7 linked regions of the Macaca fascicularis genome follow. The protein of the gene in region 7 purifies or fractionates together with the protein of the main gene of each other region. This does not show direct contact. Links are inferred from orthologs where the notes say so. Each region holds a gene or a part of one and is shown on either strand. Other genes may lie near its edges. The genes, in order: POLR1E, POLR3D, POLR3F, POLR3E, MED19, POLR3K and POLR2L.

Region 1 (4,309 bases), on a different chromosome or scaffold from region 7:
AAGAAAAAAGCTACCAGGTGATTCTGGTAGTTGATCACATTCGGGCTCGCTGCTGTACTGTAATGGAAAACTCTTTTGGGGTGTAGGAATCTAGAATTACACTAGAATTTATGGCACAACAGTTTTATGGAGGCAAAATCAAGTAAACGGGAAGGAGACCAGTTGGAACTAGGGCATCGTTGAGAGGGGAGAGTGCAGGGTTAGTAGTTCTCAGCACCTATACAGCAATCTGACCTCTATTGGAGTATGGTCCAGTAAGGCTCAGAAAGGGCCTGGTTTGTAGTTCATTGTTGGGTACCATCACAGGGCCCTGTCTGCATCATGCCAGCCCCCGAGAGTGATATAGTTGAGGTTGGACAATCTTCATTGTACAGACTAGGGGTCAGTGATGGGCAGAGTTACCCAGCCACTCAGTCAAACAGCAGCACAGAGGGATGGGAATCCCAGGCTTCTCTTTCCCAGCCCAGAGCCTTCAACACTACCAAGTTCTTTACCTGTCGTTAGTTCCCAGGTAAACTTCACGCAAGCTTTGACCTACTAGTCACACATTCCAAATTAATGGAGAGAACTGCCTTTTGGAATAAGACAGCTATAAACAAACAAGGTTACAAATGAGGTTTTCAGGAAATTCAAGTTATCTTTCCTTTCCAGCAATGTCTACAGGTGAGGGGAAGGGCTCTATGTCTAATAGGAACACAGGAATCACCTAGTAAACCGCTCTAGATGGCTCCTACTGCCCTTAAGACAGACAGGAAACAGCAGTGCCAGTGCTGCCACCACTCCCAACCCCATCACCCTTCCCGCTGTCCCTTCCCCTGCCATTACCTGCACAAAGTGTTGCATTTGAGGGCTCCAGTACCAAAATTGTTTCCCACATAGGAAAGTCTATCTGTTTCAGCTGCCTAAAATGCAGAGAGGAGAAACTCCATTTACAACCAATGTTGAAAGGTATTAAGCATCATCTCTCTTTTCTACATTTGCTGAGGCTTTTGAATCCAGACTCACAATGGATTAGAACTAGTTCATCTCTGGCAGATGATCCAGCTCCACTCTCTCTAAGGGAATATGGGGTGTCCCTGCGGGGGAAGCAAGACAACTTTTGGAAGAGAAGCCTCAGATGGTGCTAGCTTCTAATGGTATGAAAAGCTCTTGGGGGAATTCTATCACAAGACTTGAGAGAGAGGCCCTGGGCTTCTAGCACTTACAGGCATGCAACAAAGTGATTCTGTAAGCAATCTCTCTTTGGCCCAAAGTCCAAGCCCTTTTTCACCTTCTTTGCCCATCTCTCCCATGGCTGTTCTTTGTATACTCTCAGGACCATGGCTGATTGACTCCCCAATCATAAGCAAGCTTTCCTGCTTCTCTGCATTTGTCCTCGCTATCCTTTTCACTTAGAACACCAAACCTTGACTGCCAAACCCTCGTTCCAGCCTTCAAGGCTCAGCTCCAACATGACCTCCCCAAGGAAGGCATTCTGGCAGAGACCTCTCCTCCCACTGAGCTCACTCTGCCCTGTAATCTTCCGCACGTGGCCTCAGAGCTTTGTGTAAAAGTGTCCCTCACAGCCAGTTCTCATCTCTCTAGAGCAGAGGTTCTCAATCCAGGGAAATCCACTCTGGTGCTACTGGCATCCAGTGAGTAGAGACTAGGGATGCTGCCCCCACAGCAAAGAATTATTGGCCCCAAAAGTCAATAGTCCTGAGGTTAAGAAACCCTGTTCTAGAGTATGAACTCCGAGTGGGGCTAGGCCTGATTTGGCTGTTTTCCTAGAAGCTTGCAGCACAGGGATACAGAGGAGGTTCCATAAATGCTTGTTGAAAGAATAAATGAATGAAAGATGGAGCCTGTCCCCACATCCCAAGTTGCTGGGCATCAGAGTTCTTCAAAGGTCCATTTGCTACTACTCTCCTGTTTCTCCCCTCACTCCCTCCCACACCACCCACTCCCAGGCGCCTTCTGAGCCCTGCAGAGTGGAGGCAGCTGGCAACTGCTTCACTTACCAGGATCCGTTGATTCCTCTTCCTGGGGTTGGTGGAATCTTTGTTCTCATACAAGGTAAAGCGCATGTTGCCCGGACTCTGTAGCTTCCCGTTGGAGAACTGGACTGTAAGAGTGCAGCCCAAGAATCAGGTGAGAGCAGAAGGCCACACAATGTACGGTGGGACTAGACTGTCACTGGGAGGGAGTGAGTGTCAGAATGGGGATGGCAAGGAAGCTCGGGTCCTGACCCAAAGGGAACTAGAGGAGATCCGGGGCCAGCTGAGAAGAGGGGTTAGGGAGGTGGGAGAACCCTGGGGAGGGGCTGTAACAAGGGGGAATGTCTCGCGGAAGGAGGCTGACAGCAGACGCCTGGTCCACACCTAAAGTGACAGAAGGAACCCCTGCCCAGTGAAGAGAGGGAAACGGGGGAGGTGGGAGACCTGGTGGGTGAGGGGACAGCAGGGTCCTGGACACAGCCCTGGGGAGCGGGTGAGTGGGATGTCCCAATCCGGCTGGGCGGTAGTGACAGAAAGACGGACAGGGCAGCCCCGACCGAGCCCAGGAGAGTGGTGGAGACTACAGGCGTCCTGGCCCCGCTGGGGAGAAGCCTAACGGAGTGCGAGGGGACAGCTGAGATACCGAGACGGAAGGGGGGAGGGTTAGAGGAGCACTGCTCCAGCTCTGCAGTCTTTACCCAGTACAGCTCTCTGGCTCCCGTCGGGCGCCCCACAATACTGCCACCTCGCACTCGGCAACACCTCCGCCGCCATCTCGCCTGTTTGTCCGCCAAGTACAACAGTTAAGACAGCAGTAGCCACAAACCCGCTTTTAAACACGCGGGAGCCTACGCCGCGCGGCAGGCCGGAAAAGGCGTGGCCCCAGCCGGGCACCGCCCACAGTGCGCGAGCCGCGTGTCCCCGCCCCCCGCGCGGAGAGGCGCGGTCTCCGCCCACAAGGTGCCACATACTCGCGCGACTGGCCGAGGCGCAGCACGTGATTAGCTCAGCGCTCGCCTGCGCTCTGGGTGTTGTAGGTCCAGAGCCTGAGGCATCCTACGGCTTCAGCCTAAGCTTGCTGTGAGCCTTCTTCCGGCTCAGCACAGTCTAGAGAGAGTGTCGTCTCTCTCCTACCGTGACAAACACGTCTTCCCAAGACCTGAAAGACCAAGTTCAAATTTAGAATTCTCTAACAGGAACTCCTTGAGCCCCAACTAAATGTGGCCGCTGGCAAAAAGCCGCCCCTCTCTAGGACCTCCCACCCACCCACGTGGACATCCAGTTCTAGGTACAAGCTTTGTCCACAGTCCGACAAACAGCGCCCCGCAATGCGCTGTGGCGTGCACACATGTGGCCCGATCAACCCTGAGGTGATGGAACAGAAGCCCAACCAACCCCAGGGCCTTTGGCCAGGAGATTCTGGACTGAAATAGAAGAGGGAGTCCGAGCTGATAGACATGTCCCTTTTTCACTGCGGATTCAACCATTCTTCTGCACGGGGAGTTTTCAGAGCACAAAAAAGGCAAAAGCAGGACCTTTAAGCATGGACCCTGGCCGAGGCCCCCTTTGCCCAAAGATGCGTGCTATTGAAGGGCAAGAACTCAGGCTGACTCCCCTCTGTCTTCCAAATCACCTTCTTTCAGGACTCTTTTCCTTCCACACATCCTCACACCCTCCTCCAACACCCAGAATCCTAGGAATAATCTTAAAGCCTGCAACTTGTCACTCTTTTCTAATTACCCAGTCTCAAACTTAAAGAAACACTGCAAGAACTTTTTTTGCCCTGAACCATTTAGAGTAAGCTGTCAACCTGATACCCTTTCACCCCGAAGACTATAGTATTTCCTACAGACAAGGACGTTCCCTAAATAACAACACAGCCATCAGCAAATTGCCAGGCGCAGAGGCAGAGGCAGTTCTATCCCTTGATTCTAGGAATTTGAGACCAGGCTGGGCAACATAACAAGACCCTGTCTCTACAAAAAAATAATCATTAGTCACGTGTGGTGGCACACGCCTGTCGTCCCAGCTACTCAGGAGGCTGAGGTGGGAGGATTGCTTGAGCCTAGGAGGCAAAGGCTGCAGTGAGCTGTGATGGTGCCATTGCACTGTAGCCTGGGCGACCAAAAAAAAAAAAAAAAAAAAATTAAACAGAAAACAATCAGGAAATTAACACTGGTACATTACTACCATGTAATCCTCACATCCCATTTAAGTTTACCATTGTCCCAGCGTTTGTTGTTTGTTTGTTTTTTGAGATAGGGTCTCAGTCTGTCACCCAGGCTGGAGTGCAGTGTTGCAAACAGGGCTCACTGCAGCCTTGACCTTCCGGG
Region 2 (4,180 bases), on a different chromosome or scaffold from region 7:
CCCCTCTCGCTGTCGGTCTCTGTCCCTTTCACGCTTCTCCTTCTTGACAGTTACTTCTTCCTTGGGCCTGGAAAAAAGAATGGATTAAGGGAAACCACTCACTCACTGTGTCTCCAAAAACTGGCCTTACTCTCCCATACCACTTCACTCCAAGACAGCGGAGAGTTTGAGCCAATAATTACACCATGAGAAGCAGAATCCAATCCTAATTCTAGCACTTTTCTCACTTCCTTGATGAGGCAGGATTTTTTCAGTTTGCTTTACTTTACGTTCTTGTCCAAAAATGTAGATTTTTGTTTGCATTGGGACTGAAAGCAGGAAGGCAGAAATGCAAAGGAACTTCAGGGAAAGCGTGATACATCTTTGTTTAAACTATTGGCTCTCAACTCGGGCCATCAAAGAGAATCACTCCATTCTACTGCCAACAAGTTAAATCACAATTTCTAGAGATGGAACCCTAGACACCAGTATTTTTTTTTTTTAAAGCTTAAACATTAGAATCACCTAGGAGCCAGGGTTGAAAATCACTAGTGAAAAGAACTAAAGATATAAATTTAAATTTTGGAGCCACAAACCTACTTATTTCTCCCCAAAGCCCCAAATTCAGAGCAAGTAAATAAGGGGCAAGTATTCAGAAGGACTAGCTACTTACTCTTCCTTGATCTTCCGACTGATGATATTTGGGGTGAAGGTTTTCTGAAAGCAAAATACAGGAGTCACTGATGTGTTAGGTCCTGATCCCAAAGTACAGAGGAAAATAAAAACTCCCAACGGGCATCTTCTACAGACCACGGCCACCATGACTCTCTTTGGCACATTCCACAGTGCTGTCAGTTTTCTAGATACACGTGTGCCTGAAAAGGAGGAACGTCATGGTGTGGTGGCAGTGGAGTTATGCATAGAAGAAAGGGGCACCAAAAACCATTTTTAACCAGCAGCCTTAGGAAAGAAGATCCTGAAAGAAGGTCCTCTGGGACTTCTAAAAGCAAAGGAATTTCTCTGGTCTCACCTCTTATCTTCAAACTGCTATAGAGACCAGTCAGTATCATGGGGGAACATCTCTAGCAGCAAGGCCTAAGTAGGGAAGGCCACAGATCTGCCAATACTCTCAATCACTGTTGGCAGTGTTTTTCCATATTTTCCAAGGCAAAGTTAGGTTTCTAAAGACTGCTTTATGTCCAGGCGTGGTGGCTCACGCCTGTAATCGCAGCACTTTGGGAGGCCAAGGCAGGTGGATCATGAGGTCAGGAGTTCAAGATCAGCCTGGCCAAGATGGTGAAACCCCGTCTCTACTAAAAACTACAAAAATTAGCCAGGTGCGGTGGCAGGCCTCTGTAATCCCAGCTACTCGGGAGGCTGAGGGAGGAGAATCGCTTGAACCCCAGGAGGTGGAGGTTGCAGTGAGCTGAGATGGTGCCTCTGTGCTACAGCCTGGGCGACAGAAAGAGACTCTGTTAAAAACAAAACAAACAAACAAAAAAAACTGCTTTATTTGGCCGGGAGCGGTGGCTCACGCCTGTAATCCCAGCACTTTGGGAGGCCGAGGTGGGTGGATCACAAGGTCAGGGGTTCAAGAACAGCCTGGCCAACATGGTGAAACCTTGTGTCTACTAAAAATACAAAAATCAGCTGGACATGGTGGCGGGCACCTGTAATCCCAGCTACTCAGGAGGCTGAGGCAGGAGAATCACTCAAACCCGGGAGGCAGAGGTTGCAGTGAGCCAAGATCATGCCATTACACTCCAGTTTGGGGGACTAGGGCGAGACTTCGTCTCAAAAAAAAAACCCAAAAACCTGCTTTATTCTTCTGTCATCCTGACACCACCCCTTTCTGGGCTACTCTTGACATCCACAGTCATATACACATGGGACAGCCCACAGAGCCTCGAATGCCATGCCTAGGATTCATGATACTCTAGATAACAAGTTTGCACACTGAGATGGTGAATTCTGAACGCTCTAAGACTGTGAAGTTTATGCCTGCCTGGCTTTCATGGGTTTCTTAAAAATGTCCAAACACACAATAAGAGTAAATAAACACTGTTCAAATTACTTTTGAACGACTTTAACTTATTAGGATTCTCTGTCTTTCAACCACCTCTGGGACTCATTTCAACATTTTGTACTCAGTACCTAGATTTGAAGATAGGACAGGCTCCCTAGAATTTAAAGAGGGGTAGGCTTGAGGCCCAACGACACTCCTGACACATAGTAGGCCCTACACAAACATCAGTTGAATGCCGGGGCTTGGAATTCAAGGTAGTTGAGTTTCTTTAGAAACGCGCCGTTGGATACCTTCTTGACTCCCCCGAGGGTGAGGTCCCTGGAACGGATGGAGGGAAGGCGGCCGGGGGTGAGGGGAGGCGCCGGCCGCCGCCCGATGAGCCCCCGGGCCCCAGTCAGGAGGGGTCGGGGCCCTCCCGGAGTGCTGGGCTCGCCGGCGGCGTTTCCTTCCGACATGTTGCCTGGGAGAGAAGGGGGGACGAGATTACCAGAGTGGACTGACACGCGGACCCTGGCGGAACCCAACCCCCTTGCTTTCCGGTCCCCCAGTCGGTGCGTCCCTCCAGTGGCCTCTCAGCTCCTCCCCTCCCACGTGGCGAGATTCCCGGGACCACCCAGGTGAGAGCCTTTGGCTCGCGACACGCCCTCTCTCCAGGAACCCCGCCCAGGAACCAGGCAGGGACGCACCCGGGCCGCGGCTCCACACCGCGCGTCACCACTTCACCTGCGACGCGACCCGCTGCCAGCTTTAGGTCTCCGCACCGGGCGGAAGTCTGCGTGGCACCGCCTGGGCGCTGCCATCTTGGCACGGGCCGGATGTGACGTTTCGGGGGCGGGACTGGGCCACAGTATTTATCAGGCGGCGCTTCGCTCCCCTCCGCCTTCTCTTCCCGGTTCTTCCCGGAGTCGGGAAAAGCTGGGTTGAGAGGGCGAAAAAGGATGAGGGAACCGGTCTGGGCTACGCTATGTGGCGGTGCTCGGGGGTCTTGGCCCCCGGGCGGTGGCGTGGAGGTGCCGAGATCAGGGTCGCGGGTCTTGTCGGCCGCCAAGCCGCAATGTGAGGCTTCGCCTCGGCGGAGCCCCTGGGAGCTTGGGGGTAGCTGCTCGGGATGGGACGAGGGGCGCGGCACAGAGAGCGAGACCTGGACTTAGAGTCGGGGAGTCTTGGGCCGTGCCGAGCCCTGTCTGCGGGTTCTCCATGGTGACCTTGGAGTGGTCACTACCTCCGGGCAGCGACCTCGCCCACTCTCGGGGACCCCTTCCCTGTGCTCCTGGTGGAGTCCTGGGGTGAGGCTGTGAGGGCAGCGTTGGAACAGCCGCAGTGGACCAACTGGTGCCCAGTCACACCCGCTTGGGATCACGAAGGCGGTGGCCCTCGGGTGCGCTCTTGGTCAAAGCCTGGACAGAATCGGAATACCAAGTTTGCTCTACTGCTGGAGGAATTTAAAGAACTTTTATTGACTCCAGCGTTTGTGATATAAAAAGTGTCGTTTAATGTTATCTCCCATCCCCCCAGACCGTATAAAAACATTATTACGGGGAGTTTGAGGAAAGGAAATCGTTTCTACCAGAATGCCACGTAGAGTACTACTATTAAAAATTTTGTAATGTGTCTAGTAGTCTTCACAGAGTTGTATCACAATTTCGTATCCTTTTTCTTTTCTTTTTTTGAGGCGAGGTTTCTGCATACTGCAACCTCTGCCTCCCAGCCTCAAGCCATGCTCCCACCTCAGCCTCCCAAGTAGCTGGGACTCTAAATACATGCCACCACGCCCGGCTAATTTTTTTTTTCTTTTTTCTTTTTCTTTTTCTTTTTTCTTTTTTTTTTTTTTTTGTATTTTTGGTAGAGACGGGATTTCACTGTGTTGCTCACACTGGTCTTGAACTCCTGAGCTCGAGTGATGCCACCCGCCTCGGCCTCCCAATGTGCTGGGGTTACAGGCGTCAGCCACTGCGCCTGGCCTGTATCCTGCTTTTTCAAATAACATTTCTCTGTTACGGCATCAAAGACTGCATAGTTCTCCAGTGGCTGTATCATGATTTAAGTATTTCCCTGATTGTTTCTTTTTTCCCTGTTTTAAATAATGCTGTAGTGAATATCTGGTACATTCGACGTGCTTTTTTTCAATTTTGTTTTGGTTTTTGTTTTCTTTCGGATTATATTCCTGGGATAGAT
Region 3 (3,565 bases), on a different chromosome or scaffold from region 7:
CCACACTAATCCAAGACGTTAAAAATAGGTGAGACAATGTGGAGCATATAGGAGCTCTGTGTACTATCCTTGCAATAATTCTGTACGTCTTAAACTGTTCCAAAATATAGGTGTTTTTCTTTTCGTTTTTGGAAATTGTTATAAACACATGAACTGTGCATGTTCTTTCCTAGGCCTCAAAAAAGAAGGTGTACATGCTCTATAACCTGCAGCCGGACCGGTCTGTGACTGGCGGAGCCTGGTATAGTGACCAGGATTTTGAATCTGAGTTTGTAGAGGTGCTGAACCAACAGTGTTTTAAATTCCTACAATCCAAGGTGAGGTATGATTGAAGAAACATCACTGCAAACCCTCTTGTAAAAAGTTTTTCATAGAGAATTTTAATCTATCATATTTTATAGGAATTAAAAACCTGAAATTGGTAATTTTTACTAAACTAAATATGTTCTGCTGTTGGTTTCAGTATAAAGTGTATTCAGAAAACACACCAATATTCTTGCTTAGATTTCTTATGTTTCAATCCTTATAGGCAGAAACTGCACGAGAAAGCAAACAGAACCCAATGATACAAAGAAATAGTTCATTTGCCTCATCACATGAAGTGTGGAAATATATCTGTGAATTGGGAATCAGTAAGGTCAGAACTGAATTTCATCTTATTTTTTAAAACATATTCTTCATCACATACAGTATATTCCAAACATGTATTTGACCCAGACTGTTTTTTGGGGGATGATAGCTACGAACATTCTCCAGAATCCACTTTGGGAAAATACTGTCCTGTATCTTAAGCAAAGGCAGTCGCTGCCATTGGGCATTGTCTGAACTGACACTAAGCTTGGGACACTGATGCTTTTTAAATTTTTTTTGGAAATAGGGTCTCATTTTGTTGCCCAGGCTGGTTTTAAACTATTGGACTCAACTGATCCTCCTGCGTTGGCCTCCCAAAGTGCCACTGTACCTTAGCCTTTTGAAATTCTTTTTTTTAAGGACACTGATGCTTTTCACAGTGAAGAAGTGGCCATTTGGACATTTCATTTTAATTTCCTGGGCCTCAGATTTCTCATTTATAAAAACTAGGAACTGGCCGGGCGCGGTGGCTCAAGCCTGTAATCCCAGCACTTTGGGAGGCCGAGACAGGCGGATCACGAGGTCAGGAGATCGAGACCATCCTGGCTGACACGGTGAAACCCCGTCTCTACTTTAAAAATACAAAAAAACTAGCCGGGCGAGGTGGCGGGCGCCTGTACTCCCAGCTACTCGAGAGGCTGAGGCAGGAGAATGGCGTGAACCCAGGAGGCGGAGCTTGCAGTGAGCTGAGATCCGGCCACTGCACTCCAGCCTGGGCGGCAGAGCGAGACTCCGTCTCAAAAAATAAAAATAAAAATAAAAAAATAAAAACTAGGAACTTGGACTATTTGATGTTTAAAGTGCCTTTCTGCTCAAGCATTTTATAAATCTCCAATAAATTCCTGCTAAAGAAATGCTACTTTTTTATAAGATTTCTAGATTTTACTTAAGAAGTAAAAAATACCAGAAAGTGTCAAACTCAGCATGCGCTTAGAGTTCTGTCCCTGGCATTTCAGTGGTTTGTGCTAACTTGGACTATTGTTCCTCCTCTTTGTGCTTCAAATTACTCCACCCCAGCATAATGTTTCTCCCATTTCACAGAAGAATTGTGACCCTTTACTGTTTTATTTATTTGTTTGAGATGGAGTTTGGCTCTTGTTGCCCAGGCTGGAGTGCAGTGGTGTGATCTCAGCTCACTGCAACCTCCGCCTCCCATGTTCAAACCATTCTCTTGCCTCAGCCTCCCGAGTAGGTGGGATTACAAATGCCCACCACCACACCTAGCTAATTTTTGTATTTTTAGTAAAGATGGGGTTTTGCCACATTGGCTAGGCTGCTCTCAAACTGCTGACCTCAGGTGATCCACCTGCCTCGGCCTCCCAAAGTGCTGGGATTACAGGCGTGAGCCACCGCGCCCAGCAACCGTTTACTGTTTTAACACCCTCCAAGTGGATATCTCCCTGTCCTATTTGTGTCCTTTCTGATGTATCCCTTTTTTAGGTAGAGTTATCCATGGAGGACATTGAAACCATCCTGAATACACTCATTTATGATGGAAAAGTGGAGATGACGATCATCGCTGCAAAAGAAGGCACAGTTGGCAGTGTAGACGGACACATGAAACTGTACAGGGCAGTCAGTCCAATCATCCCTCCCACGGGTTTGGTCCGGGCACCCTGTGGACTCTGCCCGGTGAGTTACAGTGGCTTCACTTTACACTTGACTGCCCCTGGGTGCAAGTGCCACATTAAGAAACAGAGCAAGCACACCCCAGTTTTCTCAGACTCTTAGGGTTGACCAAGAGCTATTCAAACCTCTGTGAAACCTTGATGAACAGACCTTTAATGAACAAATCATTGCTTTACATTCTTTTTTTTTTTTTTTTTTGAGATGGAGTCTCACTCTATCGCCTAGGCTGGAGTGCAGTGGCACGATCTTGACTCACTGCAACCTCCACCTCCCAAGTTCAAGCGGCTCTCCTGCCTCAGCCTCCCGAGTATCTGGGATTACAGGCACCCGCCACCATGCCCAACTAATTTTTTGTGTTTTTAGTGGAGATGGGGTTTCACCATATTGGCCAGACTGGTCTTGAACTCCTGACCTCAGGTGATCCCCTCGGCCTCCCAAAGTGCTGAGATTACAGGCATGTGCCACCATATCCAGCCTCCTGCTTTACATTCTTTCTTGGAATAACCACATTAAGGATATTTGCGTTTTCTGCTCTTGGCCTTGAAATGGACACTTTTTGATGAGGGCTAATCATTTCACCTAAATAGGGCAGAAAATGAGATTTGTTGAGAACCTACCTTGGGCCAGGTGTGTCCTTGATGATTTCCATAGGTGGTCTCATTTAATCTTCCTTACCTTCTTGAAGCTCGTGGTGTTACTTCCCCTTAAAAGTGAGGGAGCTTAGGCTTAGGAAGACCTAGGGGCCTATAGCTTAGAAGTAACTGGGATTCAAACCCAGAGATCATGTCTTTCCCCTGCAGCATGCCCCAGCACTCCTCCTTCATTCGTTCCCAAATTTTATAAGTGCCAACTCTATGCTCTAGTCACTAAGGATACAAGAGAAAGTATAAGACACTGTTCCAGTCCTCATGGCATTTATAGTCATGAGCCTGCGTGTGTTTTATTTCATTATATCAGCCTTTGTCTATATGCCTAAGCTCTCTATGCCCTGGTTTCAATCTGTAGACAAAAGGCTAACATATTAGGAATTCTATTTTGCACCCTTCACAAAAAGGTAGCTAAACATGAAACATTCGGTAAATCAAAATCAAGTCATTCATATGTATAGGTCTCCCTGCCTGTTTTCCTGTGTTACCTGGTGATGACCTTTTGCCCAGCAGACAGGTGAGCATGGTCATCTTAATGCCACAGTAAAAGGCCTCTCTACTACTCCTAACTTGATGATCACAAAGCGGGCCCTATTATAGTATGCTCTTTTTTTTTTGGTTTTTTTTTTTTTGGTTTTTTTTTTTTTTGCAGAGATGGA
Region 4 (4,225 bases), on a different chromosome or scaffold from region 7:
CAGCCTGGGTGACAGAGCAAGGCTCCGTCTCTGGGGAAAAAAAAAACAACATGAAATTCATCTCATATAAATAACCCAGAACATACACACAGTTGCGTAACTGAAACAAAGTTTCATATAACTCTGTCTCTACTATATGTCAGGCAGTGATGTTTTCTACTTCATTCATTCAAAACAAAAAATGCTAGCTTCAATTCCACTAAATCAATTTTACTTCCCACTAATAAATCTCAATCTGCAATGTGAAAAGAACTCATCCATGTCTCCCTATGGCTACCTGCCTCAAAGTCTCCCAGCAACAGTGAGTCCTTGGAAAGGCTGGCGTGGTGGCTCATGCCAGTAATCCCAACACTTTGGGAGGCTTAGGTGGAAGGACTGCCTGAGACCAGGAGTTCAAGACCAGCCTGAGCAACATAGTGAGACCCCCCCCCGACCCCCGGTCTCTCTTTAAAAAAAAAAAAAAAAAAAAATTAGCCCAGCGTGGCCTGCAGTCCCAATGACTTGGGAAGTTGAGGCAGCAGGACTGGTTGAATCCAGGAGTTTGAGGCTGCAGTGAGCTATGATCACACCACTGTGTTCCATCCTGAGTCACAGGGTGAGACTCTATCTCTATTCGGGGCGGGGCCAGGCACGCTGGCTCACGCCTGTAATCCCAGCACTTTAGGAAACTGAGGCAGGCAGATCACCTGAGGTCAGGAGTTCCAGAACAGCCTGGCCAATAAGGTGAAACCCCGTCTCCACTAAAAATACAAAAATCAGCCAGGTGTGGTGATGCACACCTGTAATCCCAGCTACTTGGGAGGCTGAGGCAGAAGAATCGTTTGAACCCAGGAGGCAGAGGTTGCAGTGAGCTGAGATCTTGCCACTGCACTCGAGACTGGGTAACACAGCAAGACTTCATCTTAAAAAAAAAAAAAATGTAAATCATTATTTCCCTGCCTAAAACCTGTCAACTGTCACTGTCACATAAAACAAAACCCAAACTCCTTTCCATGAGCCGCCTAAGGCCCTACATGATCTTGTCTCTGACTTCCCCTGACCATCCAGGCTGGTAGCCACTTGCTGGGCCTCCACCAAGCCAAGCCCCAGTCCACCCAAGGTCCTTTGCACATCATCTATTCCCCCACAGGGATTTCCAAGGTTGCTCCTTTTTATTAAGTATCATCACCGCCTGCAGGAGAGGATAGGTTCCCTGGCCACCCTATTTTAAAAGCCTCCCCCAACTTCCTCCCAGGCACTACCACATCTCTATTTTCTTTCCTTAATGGGTCTCACCTTAATCTGGAACTACCTGGTCTATTTGCTCAGGTGTTGTCTTCTGCAATAGAATGTAAGCTCCATGAAGGCTTCTCAGTGCTTCAGTTTCCTCAACTATGAAATGAAGATTAAAAAAAATATATATCCACTGCTAGATCTCTCAATACCTAGAACAGTGCCTGGCACGAAGTTGACACTCAATATAGTACAAAGAATACTTTATATTTAATCTTCTCATTAGCCCTATTAATAGAGATTTATCATCTTCAATTTGGAAATGAGGAGACTGAGGTTGAGAGAGAAGTAACTCATCCGAGGTGGAATCAGGACAGAAACTAGGGTCTCGTTGATGTCAAAGATCCTTATTCTTATTCTTAACCAGTATACTGCACAGATCTTCGATAAAAGGCAGTATGGTTAAGTGGGTAAGAGCCTGAACTCCGGAGCAAAACTACGCGGGTTCAAATCCCACCGCAGCTGCTTCGCATCTGTGACCTACTTGAGTTGTCTACGTCTGGTATTCTTCCCTATTTTCATCCCTAAAGTAGGGAAACTAAGTACCGACCTACAAACAGCTGCGGGGAGGAGTAAAGACGGTAATAAACGTAACCTATGGGAAGGTTCGTTATTACTTGACAACATGTTTTCTGCCAATGTAGGCGGGTAAAAACGCTGCAAGCGGGAGCGTCACCTGGTTTCTAATGAGCCATCACCACAACCCTATGAGGTAGGAATTTCTATTATCCCCATTTCACAGATGAGGAACTGTTGAGATCGCTAAGATCTCTTCTTTCCGCCTCCAAGCCCAAGGAATTCTAAAGCTAACCCAAAGGAACGACCTTGTTTGTTTACTGACACCTCCTCGGACCGAATGGTCAGGGCCGTATCCGGAGCACAGAGTTGGCTCAGTAAACACTGAATGGTTGCCTGAATAAATGAACGAGGAATCCCAGGCCTCGCCAGGCAGAAGCTAATCCGGTTCAGCTGCGAAGAGGGGGCTCCGGCAGGCGCAGGTGCCCTCCCTGCCCATCGGGGCGGGCCGCCGACCCCGAGCCTCGCTGTCCAATGGGTTTCTGCTCCCTCGCGGGTGGTCAGGACCCCTTCTCACGCCCACCACGCAGTCCCTGCCGCGAGCCGCCACCACACCCGACGCCGAGGACAGGTGTTCCTTCCGTAGGATGCCCCCCAGGCCCGGGTGGGGCAGGTCGGCAGGACCCTGAGTCACCGCCGGCAGCGTCGGCCGCGGCCTCCCCAACTCCCAGGTGTCGGGTCGGGGAAGTAGGAGTCCGGGGTCGGCCTGGAGCCGGCTGCCCCTCCTCCCGCCCGAGTCCCGAGAGGCCCCCAGCCCCTCAGCACGGCGCGGCGCGGGCCTCCTTGGCCTACTCGGGAATCTAGCCCAGACCCACGTCATGAGTGCGGTCCGGCTCAAGCCCCAGCTCGGGCGCTGCCAAGATGGGACTCACCTCTCCGCGGGGGCCGAGCGCGGACGGCGGCAACCGCCCAGTTACCCGCGGGCTGCAGATGCGGCGGCGGCCCGGCTCTCCTCTCAGGCGGCGGCCATGTTGCTGGTGGAGAAACTCCGGCGGACACGTGGGGGGAGCGGGCCGGCCCCAGCGCTTCCTCTTACCCACAATGCCCCGCCCCGGCGCACACGGCTCCGCCCCCTCCGCCGCGCCATTCATGCAGGCCGTGAGCCCCGCCCTGCAGCAGGGGGCGCTGATGGCACGCGCAAAACAGCCGGGCGTGTATGCAGCGGGGAACAAAAAGAAACCAACCCTGGCAGCGGTGGGATTCGAACCCACGCCCCCGAAGAGACTGGAGCCTTAATCCAGCGCCTTAGACCGCTCGGCCACGCTACCCAGCTGGAGAAAGGGTTTGCCAGAACGCTACTTAATGCTTTTGCATTCGCATTTCATCTGGAAATCGCGAGGCGTTTTCGCTGAGGTTTTTTTGTTTAATGTGTGTTCAAGCTGATCCCTATAGAATTATTTTAAAAAGCCGTGTGCTGGAAAATAAACACTTGCTCCAGTTTTTAGACCCAGGTTTGTTCCGAATAGGTATTAGAGCAAAACTCATTTTTAGAAACTGTACTCTGAGATGGATGGTTACCCTGGAGACCCCTGGTTAACTCACAAGTAATCCATACGACCCGGATTGCGTGTCTCCGGGAGAAGAAATCGATCTGATCAGAAACACGCCCTAGGGGATCTGACGGCCAAACCCGGGGGCTGGTCTGGGCAGTTGTCTCTGAGAAATTATGTGTTTAAATTTTTACTTACACAAATAACACACGAATTATTGTAAAATATTTAAACTTTGCAGATAAGGTACAAATGCTCTTTGACTCTTGACTCGCATCCTAGGCCCCTCCGCAGAGGTTAAGTAACCATTATTATCAGTTTAATATGTACTATGGTTTGAATGTGTCCCCCAAATTTCATGTGTTGGAAATTTAATCCCCAATGTGGCAGTATTGTGTGGTGGGCCCTTTAAGAGGTGATTAGATCATGAGGGTGGAGCCCTCATGAGTGGATTAATCTATTCATGGATTCATGGGTTAATGGATTAATAGGTTATCTTGGGAGGGGGACTGATGGCTTTATAAGTGGGAGCTTTATAAGTGCTAGACCTGAGCCAGCAAGTGAACAGCTCAGCACCTCCTCCATATCATGGCTTGTACTGCCTGAGGACTCTGCAGGGGTACCCCACCAGCAAGAAGGCCCTCGTCAGATGCACACTCTTGCGCTTGGACTTATCAGCCTCCATAACTGTAATAAGTAACTTCCTTTTCTTTACAGATTACCCAGTTTCAGGTATTCTGTTATAAGCAACAGAAAATGGACTAAAACACTATATATCTTTTGTACAAAAATGTACAAAAATTACAAAGAAAAAAAATCATCATCCATAGTGCCACCACCTGGCATTAAATTAATGACTATCATTATTGTGGCTTTTTTTCTTTTCT
Region 5 (4,014 bases), about 15 Mb from region 7:
CTGAGGCAGGAGAATCGCCTGAACCTGGGAGGCGGAGGTTTCAGTGAGCCGAGATTGCGCCATTGCACTCCAGCCTGCGCAACAAGAGCAAAACTCTGTCTCAGGAGAAAAAAAAAAAAAAAAAAAAGAGAGAGAAAGGCAGCATCTTGGAGACCAAACATGTCCAAAACAACTCGATTTCCACCTCTTCAAACTTGTTCCTTCCTCATCTTCCAAGTCTCATACCCATACACCCAATTATTCAAGCTGAAAACTTAAAAAGGCATCAATTCTTCTATCTCCTTCACTTCTATATACAATATGTATTTTTAACTGAGACAGCTTCTTCCTCTATCATCTAAGCTGGAGCACAGTGGCACAATCACAGCTCACTGCAGCCTCAACTTCCTGGGCTCAAGTGATTCTACCACCTCAGCTTCCTAAGTAGCTGAGACTACAGGTGTACGCTGCTATCCCTAGCTAATTTACTTTTATTTTTTGTAGAGATGGGGTCTCATTATATTGCCCAGGCTGGTCTCAAACTTTTGGGCTCAAGCAGTCCTCCCACCTCAGCCTCCCAAAGTGCTGGGATTACTGGCGTTAGCCACAGCACCTGGCCCTATATTCAGCTTTTCAACCCTGTCAGCTCTACGTCTAACACCCTGTATCCATTTACTTCTCTAAATAAGTACATTTGACCAAGTTCCTATGTTAAAATGGCTTTCCTTGGCTGGGCACAGTGGCTCAGGCCTATAATCCTAGCACTTTGGGTGGCCAAGGTGGGAGGACTGTCATTGGCCAGGAGTTCAAGACCAGCTTGGGCAACACAGTAAGACCCAGTCTTTACAAAAAATTTTTAAGTTAGCCAACTGTGGTGGCACATGCCTGCAGTCCTAGCTACTTGGGAGGCTGAGGTGGGAGGACAGCATGCGCCTAGGAATTGGAGGTTACAGTGAGCTATGACTGTACCACTGCAGTCCAGCCTGGGTGACACAGTGAGACCTTGTCTCTATAAAAAATTGTTTTAAATGGCTTCCTTTTGTATTTACAATCTAAATGCCTTTATTGCTTTATAAAAGCCTCTGCCTAACTCTCCCAGCTTCATCTCTCTCCTAACACTCTTTCCTTTTGTTCACTTCACTGGAGTCCAACTGATTTTCTGTCCCTCAGATATTCTAAGCTTTTTCTCACATCAGGGTTTCTGACCTCATTTCCTGTATCTAGAATTATCTCTCCCTCCTGTCCATAGCTGGCTGGCCCTTTGTCTATGCTTACATTTTAGTTCAAATTTTAGCTATGTGGAGAGAGCATCTCTGGCCACTCTAGCTAAAGTAGTTCTGCCCCTCAATTTTTTTTTTAAGAGACAGGGTCTCATCTGTTGCCCAGGCTGGAGTGCAGTGGCACAATCTTGGTTCACTGCAGCCTGGACCTCCTGTGTTCAAGCAATTCTCCTCCCTTAGTCTCCTGAGTAGCTGGGGCTACAGGCAAGCACTACCACGGCCGGCTAATCTTGTATGTTTTGTAGAGACTGGGTCTCGCCATGTTGCCCAGGCTGGTCTCAAACTCCTGGGCTCAAGGGATCCTCCTGCCTCAGCCTACCCAAGCGCTGGGATTACAGGCGTGAGCAATGCGCCTGGCCACCTTCAATTTTTTATAATGTTTTCTCTTCCTAGCATTAACCACTCTCTGACATTATCTTGTTTACAATGCCTCCTACACTGAAATGTACATTCCAAAAAAGGCAAGCATCTTGTCAGTCTCGTTCACAACTGTATCTCCAGCATTTAGAAAAGTGCTTGGTACATAGGTACTCAACAAAATAATTTTTTGAATGAAAAGAGTTTGGTTCGATTCTTACCCCTTCTTTGATGACACCAGGAAACGCAGAAATCTTGGAAGAGTGGCAACTTGCCCCAAACCCACAGCAAGTCTGTGGGAGACTTGTAACTAAAACTTTAGGTCCCCAAAGATATTAAATCAGGCCTCTCGAGTTCCAAACTCAAACTCTTGATTTTTTGTTTGTTTGTTTTTGTTTTGAGACGGAGTCTCATTCTATCGCCCAGGCTGGAGTGCAGTGGAGCAATCTCGGCTCAATGCAACCTCCGCCTCCCGGGTTCCGAGTAGCTGGAATTAAAGGCATACGCCACCACGCCCAAGTAATTTTTGTGTTTTTAGTACAGACAGAGTTGCATCATGTTGGCCAGGCTGGTCTCGAACTCCTGACCTGAGGTGATTCGCCCGCCTCCGTCTCCCAGAGTGTTGGGATTACAGGCGTGAGCCACTGCGCCCAGCCCTAGATAATTTTTTAGGGAGACATAAACCAGTGTCAGGAACACAGCCTGGACATGGTGCAAAAGACAGTCACGGAGATGCACCACCCCGCTCCCCGCCATTCATCCCTTTGGTTGAATTCAACTCATCCCTCTGCTTGTGAATCCTAATAGCCCTTTCGACTTAGGGCTCCACAGTCCGGGTATGCGTTGCCTAGGTTACCTCGCACCTCCGTTAGCCGGCTGAGAGCCACGCCCAACACCTCCTCTCTAAGATTTGATTGGCTGGCTTTGGCAAGGCCGAGTACTCACCTGGCAGTTCCCTCATGAGGTAAAAAGGGCCACAGCCAGCTCCTGACTTGTCCGCGCCGGGAGGGGCCGTGGCCGCGGTGGGAGGCGGAGCCGTGCCGGGTCCCCCGCCCGGAGGAGGCGGTGGCGGGGGTGGAGGCTTTCCTGGTCCGAAGCCTAGTGCGGTTGGGGGCGGTGGTGGGTCAGCCTGAGCCCCGAACAGCGCCGTGAAATTCTCCATCGTCCCCTCCGCCCCGGCGCTGTCTCGGTGTCTGGCGTTGGTAATTTTCATTGGACAATGCCTTTAAGGAATACCCACCTCTTTCTCAAGGAACCGCTTGTCATTGGATGCCTCAGGCACCGCCTACCTTGTTTCAACAACTACTTCCGTCGCTCTCTGAGAACGTTCAGGAAGTGCTATTTAACCTTATTAGAGTCTTCTGCTAGCTACGTTAGCTACAGTCCAATAAAATGACTTAAGCTGATAAAGCGACAGCTAGACCAACCAATAAGATATTAAGTTCTTTTTTGGGTTCTGACATACCACAGCGTTGACAGAACTACATCCGGGTTTAGAGGCCGTACGTTTGAGATGTAGCCCAATAGCAGTCGCTATGGTGGGGGAGGCGGGGCCGGACCTACGACGCCGGTGAGCAGTGGCCCTTGCGGCCGAAAAGATGGCGGTCTTGGCTCCTCTAATTGCTCTGGTGTATTCGGTGCCGCGACTTTCACGATGGCTTGCCCAACCTTACTACCTTCTGTCGGCCCTGCTCTCTGCTGCCTTCCTACTCGTGAGGAAACTGCCGCCACTCTGCGACGGTTTGCCCACCCAACGCGAAGACGGTAACCCGTGTGACTTTGACTGGGTGAGCGTCCCGCGTCTCAGTACCGCGACCTTGACTGTCCCTGCCCTTGCAGGTGCATCTGGGAACCCTGGGGTTTACCTTTCTGAGGACACCTGAGGTTCCGAGCCTGTAGCGGATTTAACAGACTGTAAAGTGCAGAGTCCGAAACATCGTCGAGACTAAACTTTGTGTTTAATATGGGAAAACGGAACCTGTTAGTCGTAGCCCTGTACAACGGCCCAACAGCTTCTGACTGTTGAGTCCAGGTTTCTTTCCATTTCACCATTTAGACTAAGAAACAGCCCTGTCAAAACTGTACATATACGTGTATAGCATCTTACAGTGCCGCTCATTATGTAAAGCCTCCTGAGGAGCCAGTAAGGTAGGGAAGGCAAGTAGTAGTAGTCCTGTTTCATTGGTGAAGGAATGGATCTTGGTATATTTAGGCGACTTGCCCCAGGTCATGCAACTAATGAGTGCCTGGGACTTGAAACTATTCTTGTGGCCACACTACCTGCACACACTGTCAGCCGTTTCTTAATTCAATCAACATTTCTAGAGTGTACACTCTAGGCACTCTGCTTGATCCTGAGGATGCGAAAGTGGATAAAATTTTGGGGCTACTGTAAAGG
Region 6 (4,349 bases), on a different chromosome or scaffold from region 7:
AATTATTCAAAAACCATTTCTATTTTTAGAAACCTACATCATTTATATGACATCACAGACTCTGCCATGCAGTGGCATCAACAGCCTCATAATTATCCAGTTTAGCAACAGAAACAGTGTTCCCTCTTACCTGCAGTAGAGTCAACATTCTCCCAGGCAGCTGCTCCACCAAGCACATCATCCACTTCTTTCAGTTTTGGGTACTTCCGATTTGTTACCTAACAAAAACAACACTTCAGACTCCAGGTAACTGCATAGCACAAACCTGGGCTGCCAAACCTCGAATTTCAGGATTATATAAGAGTTCACTCTTCCCACAGTTTCCAACTCCAAACTCCCACAACACAGTACAAAATGTAGTAGCATGCAAACATTAAGACTGAGGTAGCACCAACATATTCTTTTTTTTGTTTTGTTTTGTTTTGTTTTTTGAGACGGAGTCTCGCTCTGTCGCCCAGGCTGGAGTGCAGTGGCGCGATCTCGGCTCACTGCAAGCTCCGCCTCCTGGGTTTACGCCATTCTCCTGCCTCAGCCTCCTGAGTAGCTGGGACTACAGGCGCCCGCCACCGCGCCCGGCTAATTTTTTGTATTTTTAGTAGAGACGGGGTTTCACCGTGGTCTCGATCTCCTGACCTTGTGATCCGCCCGCCTCGGCCTCCCAAAGTGCTGGGATTACAGGCGTGAGCCACCGCGCCCGGCGGTAGCACCAACATATTCTAACTTCTAAAAATAAAGGTATTCTGGCCAGACGTCGTGGCTCATGCCTGTAATCCCAGCACTTTGGGAGACCAAGGCAAGTGGATCACCTGAGGTCAGGAGTTCGAGACCAGCCTGGTCACCGTGGTGAAACCCCGTCTTTACCAAAAATACAAAAATTAGCTGGGGGGTGGTGGCAGGAGCCTGTAATCCCAGCTACTCAGGAAGCTAAGGCAGAAGAATTGTTTGAACCCGGGAGGCAGAGGTGGCAGTGAGCCGAGATTGCACCATTGCACTCCAGCCTGGGAAGCAAAGCCAGACTGTGTCTCAAAAAAAAAAAAAAAAAGCTGGGCACGGTGGCTCACGCCTGTAATCCCAGCACTTTGGGAGGCCAAGGCAGGCGGATCACAAGGTCAGGAGATCGAGACCATCCTGGCTAATACACGGGGAAAGCCTGTCCACTAAAAACACAAAAAAATTGGCCAGGCGTGGTGGCTCACACCTGTAATCCCAGCACTTTGGGAGGCCGAGGCGGGCGGATCACAAGGTCAGGAGATTGAGACCATCCTGGCTAACACGGTGAAACCCTGTCTCTACTAAAAATATTAAAAATTAGCCGGGCGTGGTGGTGGGCGCCTATAGTCCCAGCTACTAGGGAGGCTGAGGCAGGAGAATGGCGTGAACACGGGAGGCGAAGCTTGCAGTGAACCGAGATGGCGCCACTGCACTCCAGCCTGGGCGACAGAGGGAGACTCCGTCTCAAAAAAAAAAAAAAAAGTAAAAGTATTCTAAAAAGTAAAAAGAAAATATGTATTATCAAAGGAAAACAACAAGTTATAATAAAGCATGCATCATCTGCTTACTGAACACCTACTATATTCTAGGTTTCATTTTAGTTGTTCAGAATATAACATAGAAGGGAACAAAACGGAAAACCTCTGCCCTCCTAGACCTTAGGTCCTACTTTTTTTTTCTTTTTTTTGAAACGGAGTTTCACTCTTGTTGCCCAGGCTGGAGTGCAGTGGCGCGATCTTGGCTCACTGAAACCTCCGCCGCCCAAGTTCAAGCCATTCTCCTGCCTCGGTCTCCCGAATAGCTGGGATTACAGGCGCCTGCCACCATGCCCGGCTAATTTTTGTATTTTTAGTAGAGATGGGGTTTCATCATGTCAGTCAGGCTGGTCTCGAACTCCTAACCTCAAGTGATACACCCGCCTTGGCCTCCGAAAGTGCTGGGATTAGAGGCGTGAGCCACGGCGCCCGGCCAGGTCCTACTATTAATAAACAAAGCACACGATACATTACGTAATGTATTCGAAGGTAACAAGCCCTGTGGAAACAATTACAAAGGGAAGGAGGATACATTGGACGGAGGGGCTGCAATTTAAAATACGGTAAAGACAAGACCAATGAGTAAGGTGGCTATCTAGGGGAAGAGCGAAGTTAGTAACAGTAAGTGCAAAGGCCCTGCGAGCGCCATGTGCACAATGAGAGATCGTCCAGGAGGCTGGTGTTGATGGGGCAAAGGGCAATAGGACTTGAAATCGGAGAAGCAAGTCGGGGAGGGGGTCAGTGTCTGAACATGGTAGGCCCTGGAAGAATTCCAGCTTTTCGTCTGCACGAGCTGGGGAACGGCCGAAGGTTTCTGCGCACAGCACGGACCTACGTGCCTCAGCTTTAAGGGAATCGCCGTGGCCGCTGCTGTGAACGCAGAGGAGGGCGCAAGCGTGGGAGCAGGAACCCAAGGAGGCGGGAAACGGTGGGGCTTTCTGAGTGTGCTGGAGCCCACAGAAAGAGCCCACAGATCTGCTGCAGACCGGAAGGGGGAGCGAGAAAGAGCGGACAGAGGCAGACGCCGGGGCTGGCGGCGATGGCGCCGCAGTCGGAGGAAGGGGAAGGCCTGCGAGAGGCGCCCGCGGCCCAGCGCCGGCCTTCGGGTCCCACCTTGCGGGTGATGTTGTGCACGTAGGGGCACGTGTTGCAGGCGAAGCGGTGGCAGCGTTGTCCCTCCTCCACGATCAGCCCGTTCCCGCAGCCGGGGCAGAATAGCAGCATGGTCTCGAACTCCGCAGGCGCCAACCACCGGCAGCTCACACTGCCGCTCAGCGCCGACGCGCGGCCCGCCTCGAGCTTACATTGGTCCTGGCGGCCGCCTCGCCCCGCCCACCAACCAATAGACAGGGCGATTCTGCGCTCCCAGCCCTGCTGCTGGCTGTCTCGCACTTGTCATTGGTCACTGCAGCCGCCCCACCCCTCGGCGCACCAATGGCTGGGCGGCCTCGCTGGGACCGGCCGCAGTTCCTGCGCGTGCGCGCTTGGCCTCCCTAGTGCGTACTGGAAGTGCCGGCAGAGACCGGCTGAGAGGTGCTGCCCTGGAGGAGATGGAGGCCGCGGGTGGGTCCGAGGCGCAAGAGGAAGATGAGGACGAAGAAGAGGCGCTGCCGCACTCCGAGGCCATGGACGTGTTCCAGGAGGGTCTGGCTATGGTGGTGCAGGACCCGCTGCTCTGCGATCTGCCGATCCAGGTGTGTGCTGGCGGGGGCCAGGGGGGCGGGAGTCGTTCCCCGGGGGCCGGGCGTCCGGGCGCGCGCAGCCTCTGAAGGTGCTGGTGGGAGGCTGCGGCCCAAGGCTGAGGAAGGCGCCTCTGGGCGTAAACAAGGGTCTTTACCTTGGCCAGGCACACTCGCCTGCGGCGCGAAGTTTAAAGAGGAACCAAAACCCTCATTAGTGAGTGACATTAAATGAAATTTTAATGTAATTGTATTTAGGGGGCTGGGGGGACAGGGTCTTGCTCTGTCGCCCAGGCTGGAGTGCAGTGGAGCGATCTTGGCTCACTGCAGCCTGCACCTCCTGAGCTCAAGCCATCCTCCCACCTCAGCCTCCGGAGTAATTGGGACCACAGATGCGCGCCACCACACCCGGCTAATTTTTAAATTTTTTGTACAGAGGGAGTCCCACTATGTTGCCCAGGCTGGTGTCAAACTCCTGGGCTCAGGCGATTCTCCTACCTCAGCCTCCCAAAAAGCTGGGATTATAGGTGTGAGCCACCCACTCGGCCTGTAATAGCTTTAAAAGTCAAAGGTGATGCAAAAAAAAAAAAAAAAAAAAAAAAAACCCTACGATAAACGAAAAAACTTAGTTCCATTTGCCTCAAGCGTCAATATGCTTTGGCACGATACTTTTTATTTATTTGAGACTGAGTCTTGATTTGTCGCCAGGCTGGAGTGTAGTGGTGCGATCTTGGCTCACTGCAACCTCCCACTCCCAGGTTCACTACAGGAACACGGCACAACGCCCGGCTAATTTTTTGTATTTTAGTGGAGACGGGGTTTCACCATGTTGGCCAGGATGGTCTCAATCTCCTGATCTAGTGATCCGCTGGCCTCGGCCTCCCAAGTGCTGGGATTACAGGCGTGGACCACCGCACCCGGCCAGTTTTAAATGTTTTATATTTTGCTCATCATGGATATTTTAATTGCCTTGTATTTCTTAAATGTTGTATTAAAATATTTGTTATTACCGTTTTTTGTGTACACCTGCCTTACTCAGTCCTGGGCCCTGGCCTGGGTCCTGATGATCAGGGATACTCAGGGTGAACTGACAGGACCCCACCCACCCCTGGGGATGGATCCTCATGTGAGTTTATTCTCTTGC
Region 7 (4,267 bases):
ATGGAGTCTCACTGTCACCCAGGCTGGAGTGAGTGGCGCAATCTCGGCTCACTGCAAGCTCCCCCTCCCGGGTTCAAGCAGTTCTCCTGCCTCAGCCTCCCGAGTAGCTGGGACTACAGGCGCCCGGCACCTCGCCTGGCTGTTTTTTTTGTTTTGTATGTTTAGTAGAGACGGGGTTTCACCGTGTTAGCCAGCATGGCCTCAATCTCCTGACCTCGTGATCCACCCGCCTTGGCCTCCCAAAGTGCTGGGATTATAGGGGTGAGCCACCGTGCCTGGCCTAAATCTGGCTCTTCAGATTCCAAGAGAGAGAGTACAGGAGCCTCTGCTCAGTCTGAAGAGCACCCAGAAGGAGGGAACCTCAGCCCTGAGATGGAAGGCTCTCCTGGCAGCACCTCCTGCAGGGGTACCTGTGGAACAGGCTGGCCCCAGGGCTAGGAGAATTCATGGCCCAGTCGGCTTCCCTGGGCTGCCGCGGTGAAAGCTGGGCCTAGTCCTGGCCCCTGACATCCTAGTGAGGGCTGGGACCTTGGTAGTTCTGAAAGACCTTTACTGGATTGTTCCTTCCAGAGTGGGGGATGGGACACACACACGCTGTGGCGAGGCATTGCGCCAGCTCCTGGATGCCTCAGCCTTGTGAACTTGGGGCAGGATGCTCATGGCCCATGGTCAGCATGGCAGGTAGGCGGATTCCAGCCTGGTCACTTCTCCAGGGGTGCATAATTGAGCAGCTTCTCGATCAGGTCCACGTGGGCCAGCAGCATCCGGCGGCAGCAGTAGCGCTTCAGGCCCAGGGCGTCCAGCGCATCCCTGTGTCAAGCGAGGGGAGGAACAGAGAGGCCAGCTGAGTTCTCCACGGTCTGCACAGGCCTGGAGCCCACATCCAGGCCGCCTCTCACTGCCTGCTGGCCTCACTCCCCTGCTACCGGCAAGGCGAACACATTCACCTGGATGAGAAGTAGAGACCTAGCGGTATGATCCTGGCTGGAGTAACCTGGCAATGCCCAGATCCCTGGGTGGAGCGTGAGGAGCCTTCTCTCCCACCTACTCTGGCTGTACATATGTGTGTCTAACATATGTAAGAAATATAAATGAAACGAAAACTAGAGGTAATTGGGGGAGCATAGAAAACCAAGGCCACCGAGGTCCTGATGCGCAGCTCCCCTCATCCCGCACCAGCCACAGCAGGGTAGCTCTCCAGGGGCCTGCCCTTAGCTGGTTCATCCCCCACCCCAGAGCAAGCCCTACTCTGCCACTGTGGCGTCTTTTCTCACCTCTGCTTCCTTCAATCAGGGAGAGACTGCTTCTCCAGGGAGCCACCTCTCCCATTTCCCAAGCCAATTAGAAGCTTTAATTTCCCTGGGACCAAGGTCCAGTCACCATCAATACTTCCAGAAAACTCCCACACTGATGGCTCCAATGTGCAGAGAGAGAAGCTTGGGAAAGGGGAGGCCACATGGGAGGCCCCTGCAGTTCATATCCCTGGGAAAGGGTCTGGACAGGCCACCAGCCACTCACTCTGGCAGCCCACTCGCTTTACTCATTCGTCCAGCAAGCTGCACTGAGAGCCTATGGCAGGCTGGCACACACGAGCCTGGGGTTTCACATGTGACCAGGACTCAGCAGGCAAGGGTCAGACTCCAGCAGGGGCACCAAGACTCAGGCACGGTGGTGACAGCAGCACTGAGGGACAAGCACAGGAGAAGGATGCCTCCCCCACAAAGCCCGATGATGAGGGTGGTCAGCAAGTCTGCCCTGCATTTCTTTTTCTGTGTGTGTGTGTGTGTGTGCGTGACACGGAGTTTCACTCTCTCATCCAGGCTGGAGTGCAGTGGCGTGATCTCGGCTCACTGAAATCTTCACCTGCCTCCCAGCCTCAAGCGATTCTCTCGCCTCAGCCTTCCAAGTAGCTGGGACCACAGGTGTGCACCACCAAGTCCGGGGAATTAAAAAGATAAGAGGGCCAGGGGCGGTGGCTCACACCTGTCATCTCAGCACTCCAGGAGGCCGAGGCAGGTGGATCACCTGAGGTCAGGAGTTCGAGACCAGCCTGGCCAACATGGCGAACTCCTATCTCTACTAAAAATACAAAAATTAGCCGGGCGTGGACACGCCTGTAGTCCCGGCGACTGGGGAGAATTCCTGGAGCCCAGGAAGCAGAGGTTGCACTGAGCCGAGATCGCGCCGCTGCACTCCAGCCTGGGCGACAGAGCGAGACTCCGTCCCCCCCAAAAAAAAAAAAGAAAAAATTTCTGGAGATCAGGGTCTCCCCAGGTTGTCCAGGCTGGTCTCGACCTCCTGGGCTCAAGCAAGCCTCTCGCCTCGGCCTCCCAAACTTCTGGGATTACAGGCGTGAGCCGCCGCGCCCGCCTGTCCTGCAGCGAGGTTTGCAGGACATGGGGTGGGTCTGGGAGCAGAGACGAGAGATTAGGACGGAGACCAAGGGCTTTACTGCGGGTGACAAGACGCCTGCCACCCGCCAGGCCACCTAGAATCCCCAGGACACCACTGGTTTGAAGCCCAACTCCGCTCTCTCCCCAGACTTCAGGGGACAATGTTCTCCCGAAAGCAGATCACAGAGCTGGGCCGGAGTGGCCGGGTATGAAGCTGCTCATGGAGCGCCGGCCCCAGGCAGCGCTGCGCCTCCCGCCCCGGCCCGCACCCCAGGGCGGACTCAGCCCCCAGCCCCGGCCCCAGCCCGCGCCTCACCCCTCAGTGTACTCGGCCTGCAGCAGCCCCAGGTAGGCCTCCCACTTGTTGCCGACGATCTTGCCGCAAGTGAAACACCGTACAGGAATGATCATGGCGGCGGCGCGTCCCAGACTGCCCGGCCCGGTCCGGCCGCACGGGAAGCACTCCCCCCAGGCCCCGCCCCGGGCGCGTCCACTATCGCGGGGGGACCGGCTCCGCTCGTTCTCCGCTGCCCCAGCCGTTCATACACTGGCCCCGGCGCAGCTGGCCGCAATTTCCGCCGCCATGGGGATTCCCCATGCGGCCCGGGGCTCCTGGGCCTGCACGGCCGCGGCAGCAACAGACGACACACCCCCGCCCACCATCTTGGTGCGTCCCGGAGCTACGGCGTCTGAGCAGGGCCGAAAGCCGCGGTGGCGGTTCGCGTTTCTCGTGTCCGCTTGACTGACAGCTGCGCGGAGGGAGCGGACGAAGCGAGCGGGAGGCGGCGGCGCAGGTAGAGCGCCCGGGGGGTCGTGGGGGCGTGCGGCCAGGGTCTCGCGGCCCGAGGTGTCCGACCGGGAGCGGCTGGAGCCGGACGCGAGCGGGGCGCGCGAGTTCGAGCCTAGAGCCGACACGCAGCAACAAGTGGGGTCCGGCGCGGGGGCTTGGGGAGAGGGCGGGCGCGGACCGGGGCGGGTCTTCCTGCTGCCCCTCTTGGCCCCGCCGGGTAGTGGGTCCCTCCGCCTCCGCCTCTACTCGCGGGGTGTCCGGGGCTCTCGGCGCCGAGTTCGGGGGTCCCATTCTGGACGCGGCCCAGCCCCTAGGAGCGCCGTCCTGGCCTCGGCCGCGCAGTTACGGCCCCCGCCGGCTGCTCCCCGCCCCGGCCTCCTGTCCGCGTTCTTTCCGCTCCTTCCCAGGAAGGGGGTCGGGGTGCGCCCTCCCCGGTCCCGGCTCTGCTGGGCTGCTGGCCGTCCCGACGCTGAGACGCGCCTCTGAGCACGGGGAGAGGGGGCCCGGGAGGGAGGTCGGGGAGGGCGTCGTGGAAGAGGTGCTCTTTGAATTGAACCTTGAAGACCGCGGCACAGGGGACCCCTGGGCAGACTCCCGGAGGCTGCACTGGCAGGACCCGCTGAAGGCCGCAGCTCTGCCTTGCCCTGGAGCTCAGGGCCTACGGAGGACGAGGGAGGGGGAGCCCGTGTCTCTCGGATGGAGTGCGGGGGGGCTGGCACCAGCACCCTCCTTGCTGTGCCCCTAGGGTGGGGGTGAGGAAATGGGGGGTCGGTGTGCAGTAGGAGGCAAAGAAGACTCCTTGGAGGTGCCAGGTAGGCTGTGGGGGGGTGGGTGGGCTGCAAAGTGGCACCCATGGGGGGGCTCTGGGCTGGGGCTTCCAGCTGGGGTGGGACCTGTGCTGGGTTCCAGGCATCAGCTGCCGCTTTCTCAGGGCAATGCTGGGTCTGCCTTAGTTGCAGGGGAGGAGGATGAAGGGTTTTCTGGATCCAGAGTGGTGCTGGCCAGATCCACTGCACACTTGGGATTTCTGCTCCCAACCTGGCCAGGGCCCTGGGCAGCTTCCCCAGTGGCATTTGTCATACCC

Evidence for each region.
Region 1: the proteins of POLR2L (region 7) and POLR1E purify together in Homo sapiens (affinity purification with mass spectrometry; 3 studies listed by BioGRID and IntAct, with this or other methods). This does not show direct contact. The link is inferred for Macaca fascicularis from reciprocal best matches to the Homo sapiens genes POLR2L and POLR1E.
Region 2: the proteins of POLR2L (region 7) and POLR3D purify together in Homo sapiens (affinity purification with mass spectrometry; 3 studies listed by BioGRID and IntAct, counting the BioPlex papers as one, with this or other methods). This does not show direct contact. The link is inferred for Macaca fascicularis from reciprocal best matches to the Homo sapiens genes POLR2L and POLR3D.
Region 3: the proteins of POLR2L (region 7) and POLR3F purify together in Homo sapiens (co-immunoprecipitation; 3 studies listed by BioGRID and IntAct, with this or other methods). This does not show direct contact. The link is inferred for Macaca fascicularis from reciprocal best matches to the Homo sapiens genes POLR2L and POLR3F.
Region 4: the proteins of POLR2L (region 7) and POLR3E purify together in Homo sapiens (affinity purification with mass spectrometry; 4 studies listed by BioGRID and IntAct, with this or other methods). This does not show direct contact. The link is inferred for Macaca fascicularis from reciprocal best matches to the Homo sapiens genes POLR2L and POLR3E.
Region 5: the proteins of POLR2L (region 7) and MED19 purify together in Homo sapiens (affinity purification with mass spectrometry; 3 studies listed by BioGRID and IntAct, with this or other methods). This does not show direct contact. The link is inferred for Macaca fascicularis from reciprocal best matches to the Homo sapiens genes POLR2L and MED19.
Region 6: the proteins of POLR2L (region 7) and POLR3K purify together in Homo sapiens (affinity purification with mass spectrometry; 3 studies listed by BioGRID and IntAct, with this or other methods). This does not show direct contact. The link is inferred for Macaca fascicularis from reciprocal best matches to the Homo sapiens genes POLR2L and POLR3K.

The regions. Positions count from the first base shown.
Region 1 is NC_088389.1:61,840,581-61,844,889, forward strand, and holds the start of POLR1E (DNA-directed RNA polymerase I subunit RPA49), read right to left. Parts: upstream 2,853-4,309; 5' UTR 2,751-2,852; coding exon 2,675-2,750; intron 2,176-2,674; exon of another isoform or gene 2,105-2,175; coding exon 2,001-2,104; intron 903-2,000; coding exon 826-902; intron 1-825. UniProt on the Homo sapiens protein: Component of RNA polymerase I (Pol I), a DNA-dependent RNA polymerase which synthesizes ribosomal RNA precursors using the four ribonucleoside triphosphates as substrates.
Region 2 is NC_088382.1:25,315,993-25,320,172, reverse strand, and holds the start of POLR3D (DNA-directed RNA polymerase III subunit RPC4), read right to left. Parts: upstream 2,814-4,180; 5' UTR 2,729-2,813; exon of another isoform or gene 2,692-2,728; intron 2,466-2,691; 5' UTR 2,461-2,465; coding exon 2,296-2,460; intron 697-2,295; coding exon 653-696; intron 68-652; coding exon 1-67. UniProt on the Homo sapiens protein: DNA-dependent RNA polymerase catalyzes the transcription of DNA into RNA using the four ribonucleoside triphosphates as substrates.
Region 3 is NC_088384.1:68,803,957-68,807,521, reverse strand, and holds part of POLR3F (DNA-directed RNA polymerase III subunit RPC6), read left to right. Parts: intron 1-173; coding exon 174-317; intron 318-529; coding exon 530-637; intron 638-2,070; coding exon 2,071-2,262; intron 2,263-3,565. UniProt on the Homo sapiens protein: DNA-dependent RNA polymerase catalyzes the transcription of DNA into RNA using the four ribonucleoside triphosphates as substrates.
Region 4 is NC_088394.1:21,283,756-21,287,980, reverse strand, and holds the start of POLR3E (DNA-directed RNA polymerase III subunit RPC5), read right to left. Parts: upstream 2,839-4,225; 5' UTR 2,721-2,838; intron 1,372-2,720; 5' UTR 1,276-1,371; intron 31-1,275; exon of another isoform or gene 1-30. UniProt on the Homo sapiens protein: DNA-dependent RNA polymerase catalyzes the transcription of DNA into RNA using the four ribonucleoside triphosphates as substrates.
Region 5 is NC_088388.1:15,893,012-15,897,025, reverse strand, and holds the start of MED19 (mediator of RNA polymerase II transcription subunit 19), read right to left. Parts: upstream 2,812-4,014; 5' UTR 2,779-2,811; coding exon 2,562-2,778; intron 1-2,561. Other genes in the region: TMX2 (thioredoxin-related transmembrane protein 2), read left to right, coding at 3,215-3,403. UniProt on the Homo sapiens protein: Component of the Mediator complex, a coactivator involved in the regulated transcription of nearly all RNA polymerase II-dependent genes.
Region 6 is NC_088394.1:781,870-786,218, forward strand, and holds the start of POLR3K (DNA-directed RNA polymerase III subunit RPC10), read right to left. Parts: upstream 2,803-4,349; 5' UTR 2,751-2,802; coding exon 2,640-2,750; intron 219-2,639; coding exon 131-218; intron 1-130. Other genes in the region: SNRNP25 (U11/U12 small nuclear ribonucleoprotein 25 kDa protein), read left to right, coding at 3,077-3,220. UniProt on the Homo sapiens protein: Core component of RNA polymerase III (Pol III) which synthesizes small non-coding RNAs using the four ribonucleoside triphosphates as substrates. Can mediate Pol I proofreading of the nascent RNA transcript.
Region 7 is NC_088388.1:742,466-746,732, forward strand, and holds POLR2L (DNA-directed RNA polymerases I, II, and III subunit RPABC5), read right to left. Parts: upstream 2,826-4,267; 5' UTR 2,805-2,825; coding exon 2,710-2,804; intron 811-2,709; coding exon 702-810; 3' UTR 534-701; downstream 1-533. UniProt on the Homo sapiens protein: DNA-dependent RNA polymerase catalyzes the transcription of DNA into RNA using the four ribonucleoside triphosphates as substrates.